Solanum lycopersicum: one gene and its partners. The protein of the gene in region 2 interacts with the protein of the main gene of each other region in a pairwise test. Links are inferred from orthologs where the notes say so. Each region holds a gene or a part of one and is shown on either strand. Other genes may lie near its edges.

What was found.
Region 1: the proteins of SWI3C (region 2) and ATP-dependent helicase BRM interact in a two-hybrid assay, tested with the Arabidopsis thaliana proteins (3 studies listed by BioGRID, with this or other methods). The link is inferred for Solanum lycopersicum from reciprocal best matches to the Arabidopsis thaliana genes SWI3C and BRM.
Region 3: the proteins of SWI3C (region 2) and SWI3B interact in binary tests that used the Arabidopsis thaliana proteins (3 or more experiments, as listed by UniProt). The link is inferred for Solanum lycopersicum from reciprocal best matches to the Arabidopsis thaliana genes SWI3C and SWI3B.

What each region holds. Positions count from the first base shown.
Region 1 is NC_090800.1:82,012,556-82,016,653, forward strand, and holds the start of ATP-dependent helicase BRM, read left to right. Parts: upstream 1-1,151; 5' UTR 1,152-1,470; exon of another isoform or gene 1,471-1,582; intron 1,583-1,735; 5' UTR 1,736-1,791; coding exon 1,792-1,953; intron 1,954-2,862; exon of another isoform or gene 2,863-3,860; coding exon 3,861-4,098. UniProt on the Arabidopsis thaliana protein: ATPase subunit of a multiprotein complex equivalent of the SWI/SNF complex that acts by remodeling the chromatin by catalyzing an ATP-dependent alteration in the structure of nucleosomal DNA.
Region 2 is NC_090805.1:40,538,055-40,541,707, forward strand, and holds part of SWI3C (SWI/SNF complex subunit SWI3C), read right to left. Parts: intron 1,723-3,653; coding exon 1,649-1,722; intron 1,573-1,648; coding exon 1,388-1,572; intron 1-1,387. UniProt on the Arabidopsis thaliana protein: Component of a multiprotein complex equivalent of the SWI/SNF complex, an ATP-dependent chromatin-remodeling complex, which is required for the positive and negative regulation of gene expression of a large number of genes.
Region 3 is NC_090803.1:68,202,525-68,206,660, reverse strand, and holds the start of SWI3B (SWI/SNF complex subunit SWI3B), read left to right. Parts: upstream 1-1,314; 5' UTR 1,315-1,382; coding exon 1,383-1,617; intron 1,618-1,728; coding exon 1,729-2,153; intron 2,154-2,482; coding exon 2,483-2,854; intron 2,855-3,738; coding exon 3,739-3,877; intron 3,878-4,136. UniProt on the Arabidopsis thaliana protein: Component of a multiprotein complex equivalent of the SWI/SNF complex, an ATP-dependent chromatin-remodeling complex, which is required for the positive and negative regulation of gene expression of a large number of genes.

The DNA of each region.
Region 1 (4,098 bases), on a different chromosome or scaffold from region 2:
TTCATAATTATAGTTGCCAAAACAATATTTATCAATTTATGTGATTTTCTTTTATACATTCATATTTATACAATTCAGACAAAAATCAGTTAAAATTCGAATTGTAAAATTCTGAAGTTATGCTCTATATAATAATTTTTCAAATAAAAAGTCGAATGAATTCCTTTCGCGCATATTTCAATAAATAAATTATTTTACTTTTAATTTAACATTTTTTTATAACATACATAAAATAAAATATATGTTAAAATTAATATTTCTTAAATTGGTATTATTTTTTATTCTTATTATTATTATACTAAAAAGAGACTGAAAATGCAAAGCCAAATAGGAATATCCGTCGACACACGTTATTACGTAATCAGATTTCCATATATTATAAAATGTTGGTATTTTGGTAAATATTACGTTTTCTGAGGTTAAATGAATTCCACTAACCTAACCTCTCTATACCTTAACCAGCCCTTAACCCAAGGTAAACCCAAGTTGTTGAGCAAAAAGACAACAAAAATTTAAAAGAATCCATACATACAAATTACAAAAATAATTACAAAAACAAAAATGTAACCAGTTCCAAAATAGTATTCAAAATTAATTTAATTGATTATCAACATTAAATTAAATTAAAAATTTAGATATTTAATTTTTTTTTTATAAAAGTACAATAAATTGTAAATTTTCTCCATATCTATATGATAAAAATATACAATATTTATATTATTTGATTTCTTAAAAGAAGAGTGATAAATTTTTTACCAGTCAAAAAATCTTTTATAGCGTTCACATAATTACTTGTAATGTAATAATATAGTCTCACTATAGAAAAATAATCACATCAATTATAAAGGTATTTATTTATTTAAATAATAATGATATCTATTAATCATGATATGATAAAATAATAAATACTTATTATCATGCTATAACAAGTTAAATTACCATATTTTAGATTTTGAGTTTCACAAGCTCATTAATCATCGCACATTTTTCATTTTTCATTTATATTACTTCTTTATATGACTTTTTTAATTTCATATTCATAATATATATGTCAATTTACACGTATATAATTTATTTATTATTGCTCATCAAATACATTAATAGAATCCATTAAAACTTAGATAAATAGAAAACTCTTTTAAGGGGAATATAATTTACAAAAATATTGCAAATTTTTTCACAAAATTAATTTTTTTTTTTCAAATCTCTAAAAATTGTTTGTTGTCATTTTAATGTAATAGGAGTAAAAAAAAAAAAAGGGAAAAAGGAGAAGCACATAGAAATAACAGCTGTTAGGGCTTGGACTAAAAATGCAAACTGCGTGAAAATTCACACATACACACACCAGACAGCATATATAGAGAGAGATTCCGGCAACTTCGGAAGATCGCCGGCGACTTTTCCGATCTTATCATAGGCCCACAGATTCGCGCCAAAATCCATTCACCATTACCCTCAGCAAAATTCTCGGTAGCTTTTTTTATCAAGAAAATAAGGAAATTATACATACAGGAAAAAAGAGAGAAAATTTTTATAGATAAAGTACAGTTGTGTGGGACAGAGAGGTGTAGAGAGTGGTGAGGTAAGGGGGGTGGGTGGTTGATTTGAACCTTGGGGATCGGGGAAAGTGGGAAATCTTGGGTTTTAGGAAACTACAGGGGTTTCCACTGAAATTAATGTTTCATTACTTATTTTCTTGATGATGGGGTTCTGAAATTAATCAATTAAATTTCAGGTGAGTTGCAACATTTTTGGAGGAAATAGAATTTTTTGCTGAATTTTCAAGGGTGCATGCAATCTGGGGGTGGAGCTCAGCAAGGTGGTGTCGCCGGCGCCGGTGGTGGACATGGGCGGAACACGGCGGCATCAGCCTCAGCTTCTCCAACATCATCTTCTTCTGCCTCTCATATGGGGTTGGATCAGCAGCAGCTGCATCAACAGCATCAGCGGCAGGTTAGGGTTAACAACTTTTTTTCTGAATTTTACTTGTGCTTTTGAGGAAGAGGGGGTGTTTCAAGTGGCATTTTGTTTTTTTCTGAAGTAGGATTGATGTTTGTTATTCTATTTTGGAAGTGGGTTTCGCATAAGACATCAAGTTCTTTTTTTTTTTGTATGATGTTGTTCAACACTAGGTTTGAAGTGACATGAATTTGCTTGCTATGTGAAAGACATTCTTTTTCTTGTTCAATTAGCACTGAGATGCCAGCTGCTAAACTACTTAAGCTTTGGAAGTAGGAGGAATTTGAAAATCTTTGTATGAAGGAGAGAGTGATTTGCTTTTTGTAAGAAAGAGCATTTTTTGTGCTGAAAAATGTATTAGCGCTTGTTGATTTTTAGAGTTATCCAAAATTCACTTTTCAGAGAATTAACTCTGTGTATCTTAGTCTTCCCTCTAATGGAAGTGTTAAGTTCCACCAAGTACGTATTGTCTAGCATGTTGTGATTCCTATTTTTCTTTTTCTTGATAGATAGTTCCACCTTTTCTTCCTTATTTTAAGTGCTCGTCTCTGCCAGGTCTTTAATATTTTAACCTTGACCTATTCAAAAGGTTTATATTTCCAACAGTATTGGAAGTTAATGTGATTCTTAGCTGCAATGATGTTCTCAACTCATACCAGATTAACTGTCATTGCTTCGGTTATGGAATGCAATCTTCTATTTCGTCCATCCACATGACACATTTTGTCCATGTGATTCTTAACTGCAATGATGTTCTCAACTCATACCAGATTAACTGTCATTGCTTAGGTTATGGAATGCAAACTTCTTTTTCGTTCATACATGATATGACACATTTTTTCCATGTGATTCTTAACTGCAATGATGTTCTCAACTCATACAAGATTAATTGTCATTTCTTAGGTTATGGAATGCAAACTTCTATTTCGTCCATACATGATATGCCACATTTTGTCCGTGTGATTCTTAACAGCAATGATGTTCTCAACTCATACCAGATTAATTGTCATCTCTTAGGTTATGGAATGCAAACTTCTATTTCGTCCATACGTGATATGCAACATTTTGTCCATGTGATTCTTAACTGCAATGATGTTCTTAACTCATACCAGATTAATTGTCATTTCTTAGGTTATGGAGTGCAAACTTCTATTTCGTCCATACATATGACACATTTTGTCCAAATTTGATACTTAATGATACTCTGAAAAGTTGTAATTGTCCTCATTTCTAAAATTTTACTGTATTTGATTTCTGAGTTGATTATCCTTAACAGGAAACACATTTATTAAAAGTGAACTGAAGAAGACGAATTGCAGCACAGGACGAAATAAGATGTTGCTTAACTAAACCAGAGTATTTTTGTCCAATATGTGCATAGAATGCTGCAAATTTCCCGAGAAATTCTTTCATGCTTTTGACTGGCAGTATTTGTCCTTCAGAATGCTGCAAATTTCCCTAGAAATTCTTTCATGCTTTTGACTGGCAGTATTTAACCTTCAGCATTATCAACTTTGTCAGTCATACCAGTTTCTCTCGAGTTTCTTGTATGCTATATTGTTATAATATTTTTCCATGTACTTTTGTTGCGTTGTTTGCTTCCAACTACTGATGTCTGGAGAGATTGTTGTTCCTTTTTTTAAATTATTTTTGAAACAATATTTTACCAGGTATGTTTTCAAATAAAGTGTCAAAACTTGTTATGTTGAATCATGATAGCTGCTCTTTTCGAACTGATTTGTGTTTAATCTTAGTGTCTTATTATGTTCCCCTGCTGAAAATATCGTGGTGGCTTATTGTCAAAAATAAGGAAGATCACAATAATCTAGGTCTTATTTAAATTACTCACCTTCTTTTATAAATAACTTTTACATATCACTTATCGGATATTCGTTTTGTAGTCATTACAACAACAGTTACTTAGAAGGCCTGAAGGAAACGAAGCTATTCTGGCCTTCCAGACTGGCAGTCCCCATGGAATTTTAGGTGGGGGTAATTTTGTTGGACCTTCTGGATCCATGCAGCTGCCTCAGCAGTCGAGGAGGTATATTGAACAGCATGATTCTCCCACCATTCGAGAGGATGGACAGAACAGGAGCCAGGGCTTTGAGCAACCGATGTTGAGTCCTGTCCAACAGG
Region 2 (3,653 bases):
TTTCTATCTTGTTTCTCTTGGGGCTAGAAGGAATGCGGGTGAGAAGTGGTAATTATTTAAGTTACTTACCATTGATTTCATGCCTACGGTTTCAAAAATATCAAGCAAACACAAGAAAAATCATACTCCTTCCTTCCCACTTTATGTGGTACAACTTAGGCACAAAGTTTAGGGAAAAAGGAAGCCTTAGACATGTGTCGCTATAAATCATTTCATTAAAGGGTAAAAGGGGAATAACAAAGCTAAATTGTTTCTAATTACAGAAAGGTGACATTCTTTCTGAGACAGACTAAAAAGGAAGTATATCCCATAAATTGGGACGGGAGTAGTAGTATCCAATGATTACCTTCCAAGGAGAATTTGAAATTTATCAACAATTTATATTACTGGCATTACATTCTCTACCATCATAATGTAAGAATGTCCCCCACGTGAGGGAATGAGTTGTTGTCTCCTTATATGGTCTTGAACAATCCTCAACTTCCACCTAGATTTTGGGTTGGCCCAAGATCTATTTTCTTTGAATAATCGGGTCAAGACCCATCCCTATTATTGGTTTATCCCATGGTATGTTGTGGACACTCCAAATGTCCGAATTTGGGTGTGTTAGAATGTCCTACATTGGTTGAGGGAATGGATTGTTATCAGATTATATGGTCTTGGACCAGTAGCACCTCATGAACTTATATTTAGGGTTGACATAGGTCAGATGATCATTTTCTTCACATAGAAATTTGATCTTTTTACCAAATTCATACAGAGTAGAAAGTTAACTATAACAAACCATGTCCTATGCAGACCTTCCTATACACCAGACCTTGGTCATATCATATGATGATTGAAGGTGATAGAAGAGAACGAGGTAAAACCTAAAATCAAGTGGAGACACATTATCTCAGAAGTCCACAAATCTAGATATAACTGTGATGTGACAGAGAAATCCTTGTGAGGTAAATTATCTAGTGTTGAAATAAAATGTGCTTTGAACAGAGTGGAATGAATAAAGATTCATAAAGTTGATCTCAATTCTCAACTAGTTTGTATCATGAATTATGAATTTATCCACATAAGGTATTTATTATGAATTTATGATGAACTAATCAGAACCTCAAACCACAGCTCTCCAGTTACATCCCTCAAACCCGAACTCTTCCAACTTTTTTTTAACCCAAGTATCACTACTAGCAACAAAAAAACAAACTTCAGCAGAAGTTCTTCAAAACCATTGTAATGCACCTATAATGGCCCGAATACTTGGCAAAACCTAAATGCCCGAAAGTAAAAGATGTCAATAAAGACTCAACCAAGCAAAACGCGAAGAAAGAGGATGAAATGGACTCAACAGGAGGCCAAGCGGAGATGAATAACTACAGTATCAGCAGATCACCTGATGGTTGACTATGTTTGCAGATAACCGCTGAATCTCACGTTCTTCATGGTCAGCAAAAAGCTTTGATTTTACAGCTGCAGCTGCAAGACCAACTTTAGCAGCAGCTCTTACACTTTCAGTGGATAATGGAGTCCCTCCAGCATCATGTTGACCCCATGGACCTTGTCCTGCTGCCTTATCATCTGAGAAGATTTATATTAGAAAATATTTGAAGAATGATACAAGAACAGTATGGTACTAGCTCAAATTTACAGGCACCTTTTCGCTGATACGAACTTCCAACATCTCCATGAGGACTTTCATTCTTTCCAGGCATTCTTCCTACACTGATCCTGCAAGATTGAAGTATATACCTTGAGATCACTAAGATGATTAGAAATGGTTCATCTGTTGCTCCTCAAGAAACTAATAGACTATGGCATTACCAATGGCTGAATGCAATAAAATGCATGAAGATATTTTTTTTTCTCATAATATTTGCAAAGGGAAGTAATGCTTCCTTATGAAGTATCACTTTGCTGTATATTTAAAAGAATGATACCATTATAAACTTGACTACCTCAAAACACAAATAGTTAAGCTCATTTAAGTTTTCAAAAGGACAAAATTGCAATACCAGAAAGGTGCTCACCTTTTGCCTCATCAAAGGTGGATCACATTGCATTATGATTTCAGCTTCTTCTTCTTCTTTTTTTTTTTTTGTGAAATTGCATTATGGTTTCAACTTTCAACTATCAAAACTAGAGAAGTGTGAGACTGTGAATGCTTCTAGCTCACAGATAATGTTTGACATATTATTCCTAGACTAAATGGCCGACAAATTAGTTTTACTGAAAATGATAGGAGGTGAACCTCTCATTGATAAAACAAGGGAGAGATGTTGGGTATATAAGGAAGCAAGCTTTAGACACTAGTGATGCATTTTAAAGCCACGCAGATCCGGGCCCAAAGCGGATAATATCACTTGTAGGTTGGGTTTCTATAAAGTGTCTTACCCAAGGTAGCAAAGTATATCATGCTACTATAAGTTGCTCGGACTCTGGTGCAAGGGTCTGATACGGGTGCAAATCTAGAGGTTGGATCCTTCAACAACAACATACCCGTGTAATCCCACAACAAGGTCTGGGGAGGGTAGAAGTACGTAGACCTTGCCCTTCCTTTATGGGGTAGAGGTTGTTTCCGATAGACCCTTGGCTCAAAAGGAATGTCATGGGAGCAGGATAGCAAGAAAAATATACAACCAAATAGCACAATAGAACGGTTGGATCCTACATGATGTAAACTTTAAGATCCGTTATAAGATTTGAGGTACAGATCTAAGCACAAAAACAGGTGTGCGGATTTGGCTACAAGTAATTCAAGTATCAAAATAAAAGTATTCCTAAATTATGGTTGACAATTTGAAAGGAAGGAATGCACGAATATTCAACAGCAAGTTCAAATTATTGTTAAGTACATATTAAGTTTGAATTAGAAATCTTCGTATCTATCTCAAATTTCTCTATTGTTCTAGGTCAAAGCACCCAAAATTGTTTGACCGTTATCCGGTACAGATCCCACACCCACACCCATGTCGTGTTGACACAGATGCAGCACCGAAGTAAAGAGTCTGCACAACTTACGTGCCATTGAAGCATTCATGAGCACAGGCAAGCACACGAGCAACAAAAAGCATTAAGACCAACTTAATACCCAAAATACAGTTTAATAGCAGTAGTGCCATTTTGGCTTCAGAGTGTTGACTATAGCTGCTTAATGAGTAGGACAGTAGGTTATTTCATCCAGAAGGGTCGTGTTATTGCCTCTTTCTTCCACGTTTGGAGATGATAACACATACTCTTGTCATATAATCAAGTCCTTCAGTTATTATATGAGAAGAAAAGGCTTCAGCAACAAAGAGAAACAGTTAGAAAAAAGGGTGAATTTGGTCATCCAATCTTTCTTTTTGTAAATACATAAACCAAACCAAAAGCTAGCTATGATTCAGCTTTTATCTTTTTATTCAATTTTTTCGGTTGCCTTTCCAAGTTTGTGTCTATTCTAAACTTTGGAGTTTTGTTGGGCTTATAAATCTTTATCAAAAAAATATTCCCTCCGTCCCATTTTATGTGAGGTAGTTTGACTCGCCACGGAGTTAAGAAAGGAACAAAGAAAGGAAGACTTTTAAAACTTGTGGTCTGAAATGAACGATAGAAATTTGTGTGGCTGTAAATCATTAAGGGTAAAATAGACATTTTATAGTTAAATTGTTACTTAATATAGA
Region 3 (4,136 bases), on a different chromosome or scaffold from region 2:
TTTAACAATCTCTTATGGCGTCCAAATAAGTAGTCTCTTTTCATGATTAGTTCAATTAATTTTTTCATTTGGTGCCAGCTTATATTTGCAATACTTAAGTATTTGAATTTGCTTAAAGGTCCTTTATGTGGTAAGCAGTCCCGTTTCAGTGCCATTTGCATGTCATCAATATGAATTGAAGCTGCTGAGGAGAATTAATGAAACTCTGAAATAATCTACTAATTTGATATGCAGCCCTTTAAAAAAAGGAAAAAGACACTAAAAAGTAATTTGGTGTATGTAGATTATGTAGCAAGGTTATCCTTCTCCTAGATATCACATATTAAAAAGCTATCAAACCTTTTCTAGTCTTAACGTCATTTGCGTTGATGCAGGTTATAAAAAGTCATACCCACACCATGAGAGCTCAATGTCTGAGTCGCTCCTGATGATTGAGTGAGGAAACATGGAAGTTGCGGATTGCACTTCCTTCAACATCATGTATCTAGGCCCTTGCATTCTGCTGGTTTCAGGATCACTGGCAGAGAGTCATGCATTTGAGGGATACTGGAATAGGTTTCTGGCTCCCTCCTTGTAGCAATAAACTTTGTAAAAAATTCACATCAGAATCAACCTGTGATTCAGTTATAGTCAAAAACTCCCAGAATATGCTTTTGGGTGTGTAGATAGTCATTGTCTTGCGTGCTGGTGCACCATGCACCGTGTTTAAAAGTCTTGTGCATAAAAAACAAACAAGCTTTAGTCTTAAACTTGAGATTCATTCTGTAATTTGGATGTTTTATTGATGATTCTTGAAGCAAGAAGCTTCAGTTATTATCACCAAGGTTGGTGTGACATGACCATAATTTTGGGTGCAAAAGCAGTGTTGCATCATTTATTTGTGTTTGGTACTCAGAGCAGACTTTGCCAATGAAGTTTATATTATTCATTCCCCTTTAACCTATTCTGTTGAATATTACATCAACCATGTCAATGTCTCAACTCTCAAATTTGCGTTTGCTGTTCCTTTTCCTATATATTCAAATCTAGTTTTGTTTCATGATTCAGGTTTAGTGATTTAGTTGTCTTTCTTAAGGATTGCAAATCTCTTTCATACAAGGTATTATTCTTGTTTATAGCAATCTATCGGTCGATGTAAAACCCACAAAATAAAAATTAATAGGACGTTTGAGTTGTAATTTAGACATTAATAATTATTAAGTGTTTTTTTTTTTTAATTTAAAAAGGACACAAGCAAACCTATTACTAACTAAGCTATTGGTCAAAATAAAATTGGCCCTTCGTATAAATAAAACCTTATAATTGTCTGTTGATAGACCGTTTGTGCGTTTCATCTCCCAAATGCCTTGAGATTACACTTGTCTAAATTCTAACGCTTCAACATGCCCGAATCAGGCGAAATCAAGTCACAGGCAGCTAAATCTGACCCTCAAACTACCTCTCCGCCACCGTCGCAGCAACCTCAAACGGCTGCTTTGCCACTAAAGCGTCCCCAACAACTGGAATCGTCCCCAAACCCAACAACTCCTTCAGTCACCGATCCCAAAGACGTCACTCCCACCACTATCTCCTCCCGTATTACTGAACCTGATTTCATCTATATTCCCAGTTATTCCCGTAAGTCCCATCTACTTTTCAGCTTTTCTTTTCAAATTTGCTTCTGTATTTTTAGGGTGGAATGGATATAGATGATTCGTGATACTTAATTAGTTCTTCTTCTTCTTTTAGGTTGGTTTTCATGGAATAGCATTCATGAATGTGAGGTTCGCTTTCTTCCTGAATTCTTTGATGGAAGGTCGCCTTCCAAGAACCCTAAGACATACAAATACTATAGGAATACTATTATTCGTAGATTCAGAGATAACCCCACTAAAAAGATAACCTTTACTGAGGCTCGCAAGACCATTGTTGGAGACGTCGGCTCAATTCGTAGGGTTTTCGATTTCTCAGAGACATGGGGTTTGATCAATTACACTGCTAACTCTTCCAAGTCTCTGATCAAGTGGGAAGAAAAAGAGTCAAAGTCAACATCTGCCTCAGCTCCGCAAAATGCTGACGCCAATGGAACGTCCACTGATTTTACTCTCCCCAAGAAAAGAATCTGCAATCTCTGCAAAACAGTTTGCAGGATTGCTTGTTTCGCTTCTGATAAGGTGATTGCAACAGTCCTCTATTTTAGAGTGTTTGCTTTATCTTGTTTATTCGTAAATTAGAAGGACTAATTGGTATCTAACAACTCTTTTGAATCAAGTTTGAATCTTTTAGCTTCTCCTCAGTTGGTCATGCTTACCTCTTAGCTCTCACATCTCAGTCTATAGATTCATACTTTTCATAGCTCATGGTTTCTATTTAAAAAGTTCTCTTCTTTTTTTTTTCTTTTTTTTTTGCTTAATCCTAAATGGCAGTTTACTTGAGGTGTTGGTTGGGCTTGTTGCTATTGTCAAAAATGAGTTTACTTCAATTTTTGTTTGTTTAAATGCAGTATGATTTGACTCTTTGTGCAAGATGCTATGTTAGTAATGATAATAGAGTTGGCGTGAATAATTCAGAGCTTCGACGGGTTGAGATTAGTGAGGAAGTTAAGACAGATTGGACTGACAAAGAGACTTTGCACCTTTTAGAAGCTCTTATGCATTATGGCGATGATTGGAAGAAGGTTGCTGAGCATGTTGGTGGCAGAAGCACTAAGGAATGTGTGGCTAGATTTGTCAAGCTTCCTTTCGGTGAGCAGTTTATGGGCCCTCCTGAATCTGCAGAAATGGATAGTGAATCCAGGTCTGAAACTATGTATCTTCAATCTAAGAGAAGGCGCCTCACACCCTTTGCTGATACAAGCAACCCAATTATAGCACAGGTACTAAGTCACATTTCTTATTACATGGATGTTTTAGGATGTTAGATCAGTGTTTGGGAAGCAAGAAGCAAAAAACAGCGACAAGGGTTCGCTTTACAGAAGCGAGAAGCGTGAAGTTTGCGCACACTTTTTTCAGATAAAGCGGTATTTAGTATAAAAATAATAAAAAATATTAAATAACTGAATAGAAGTAACATATTCCTAGATTAAAAAGTAAATAGATTGTCAATAATCCTCGTGAGTCATAACATATAAAACAAATACATAACCAAATCACAAAGGATCAAACTCTTATTCTTCATTGTGACATTGAATAAGAAAATACAACTTACTACAAGCAAAGATAAAAGAGTAACTCAGTAATAGAACAACAAAAATACTGTAGAAAAAAATATAGAGACAGAACAGATCAGCAGCCAGCAAAAAAGAAAAAAAAAAGAAAAAAACAGAGCAGCAGTAAGTCAGTTAGATATACATGTTCTATTTAGTATTGTGGACCTTGAATATTAAAAAGAAACTGGACATCTGTTAAGTGCTTGTGCATACAATATTCCCTTGGATACTTTGCAAGTTCAATGTAGTTGCTGAAGCAATTCCAATTTCTACGCTATCAAGGGAACTTCGGTTCCCATCTGACTTTGAATTATTTACGTAGATCTTAAGACGTTCTGCTGAAGCAATTTCAATTTCTACACAATCAAGGAAACTTTGCTTCTCATCTTACTTTGATATGTTATATAGATCTAGGGTCATTCTTCTCCCTCATTGACTAAGAGTCTTTTGGGCTGCTGATTTCTTGAAGTAGACAAGTTGATTAATTAGGTCTTTAATAATAGTCAAGTTAGACTTCAACTGATTCCTCTTGTTTTTGAATCTTGCTGCAGGCTGCTTTCCTCTCTGCTCTTGCTGGAAAAGAAGTTGCAGAATTAGCAGCACATGCCGCTGTTACTGCTTTGTCTGAGATTGGTGAAGGAATAACAACAGGGAGTCTAGAATCTGTACTCTGTGGTGCAGAGCGGCAAGGTATCCCTATTATTTGTTGTGGTTTCAACAGAGAAATCCCTATTACTGCAAACTTTTTTGATAAGAGTACTACTGCAAACTTTAGACATATGGGGTGTCAGCTTCATAAGAAAGGAGTTTGTCTAAAGTGAAATCTGATGCAACTCTTGTCTCTTGGTTTGTGCAGTAGTATTAGCGCATTTGCAATGTTAATTAATGCGTCTTCTTGGTGCATTGTTTGCTGCATTCTTTGACAACAACTTTTGGAATGTAAAATGCC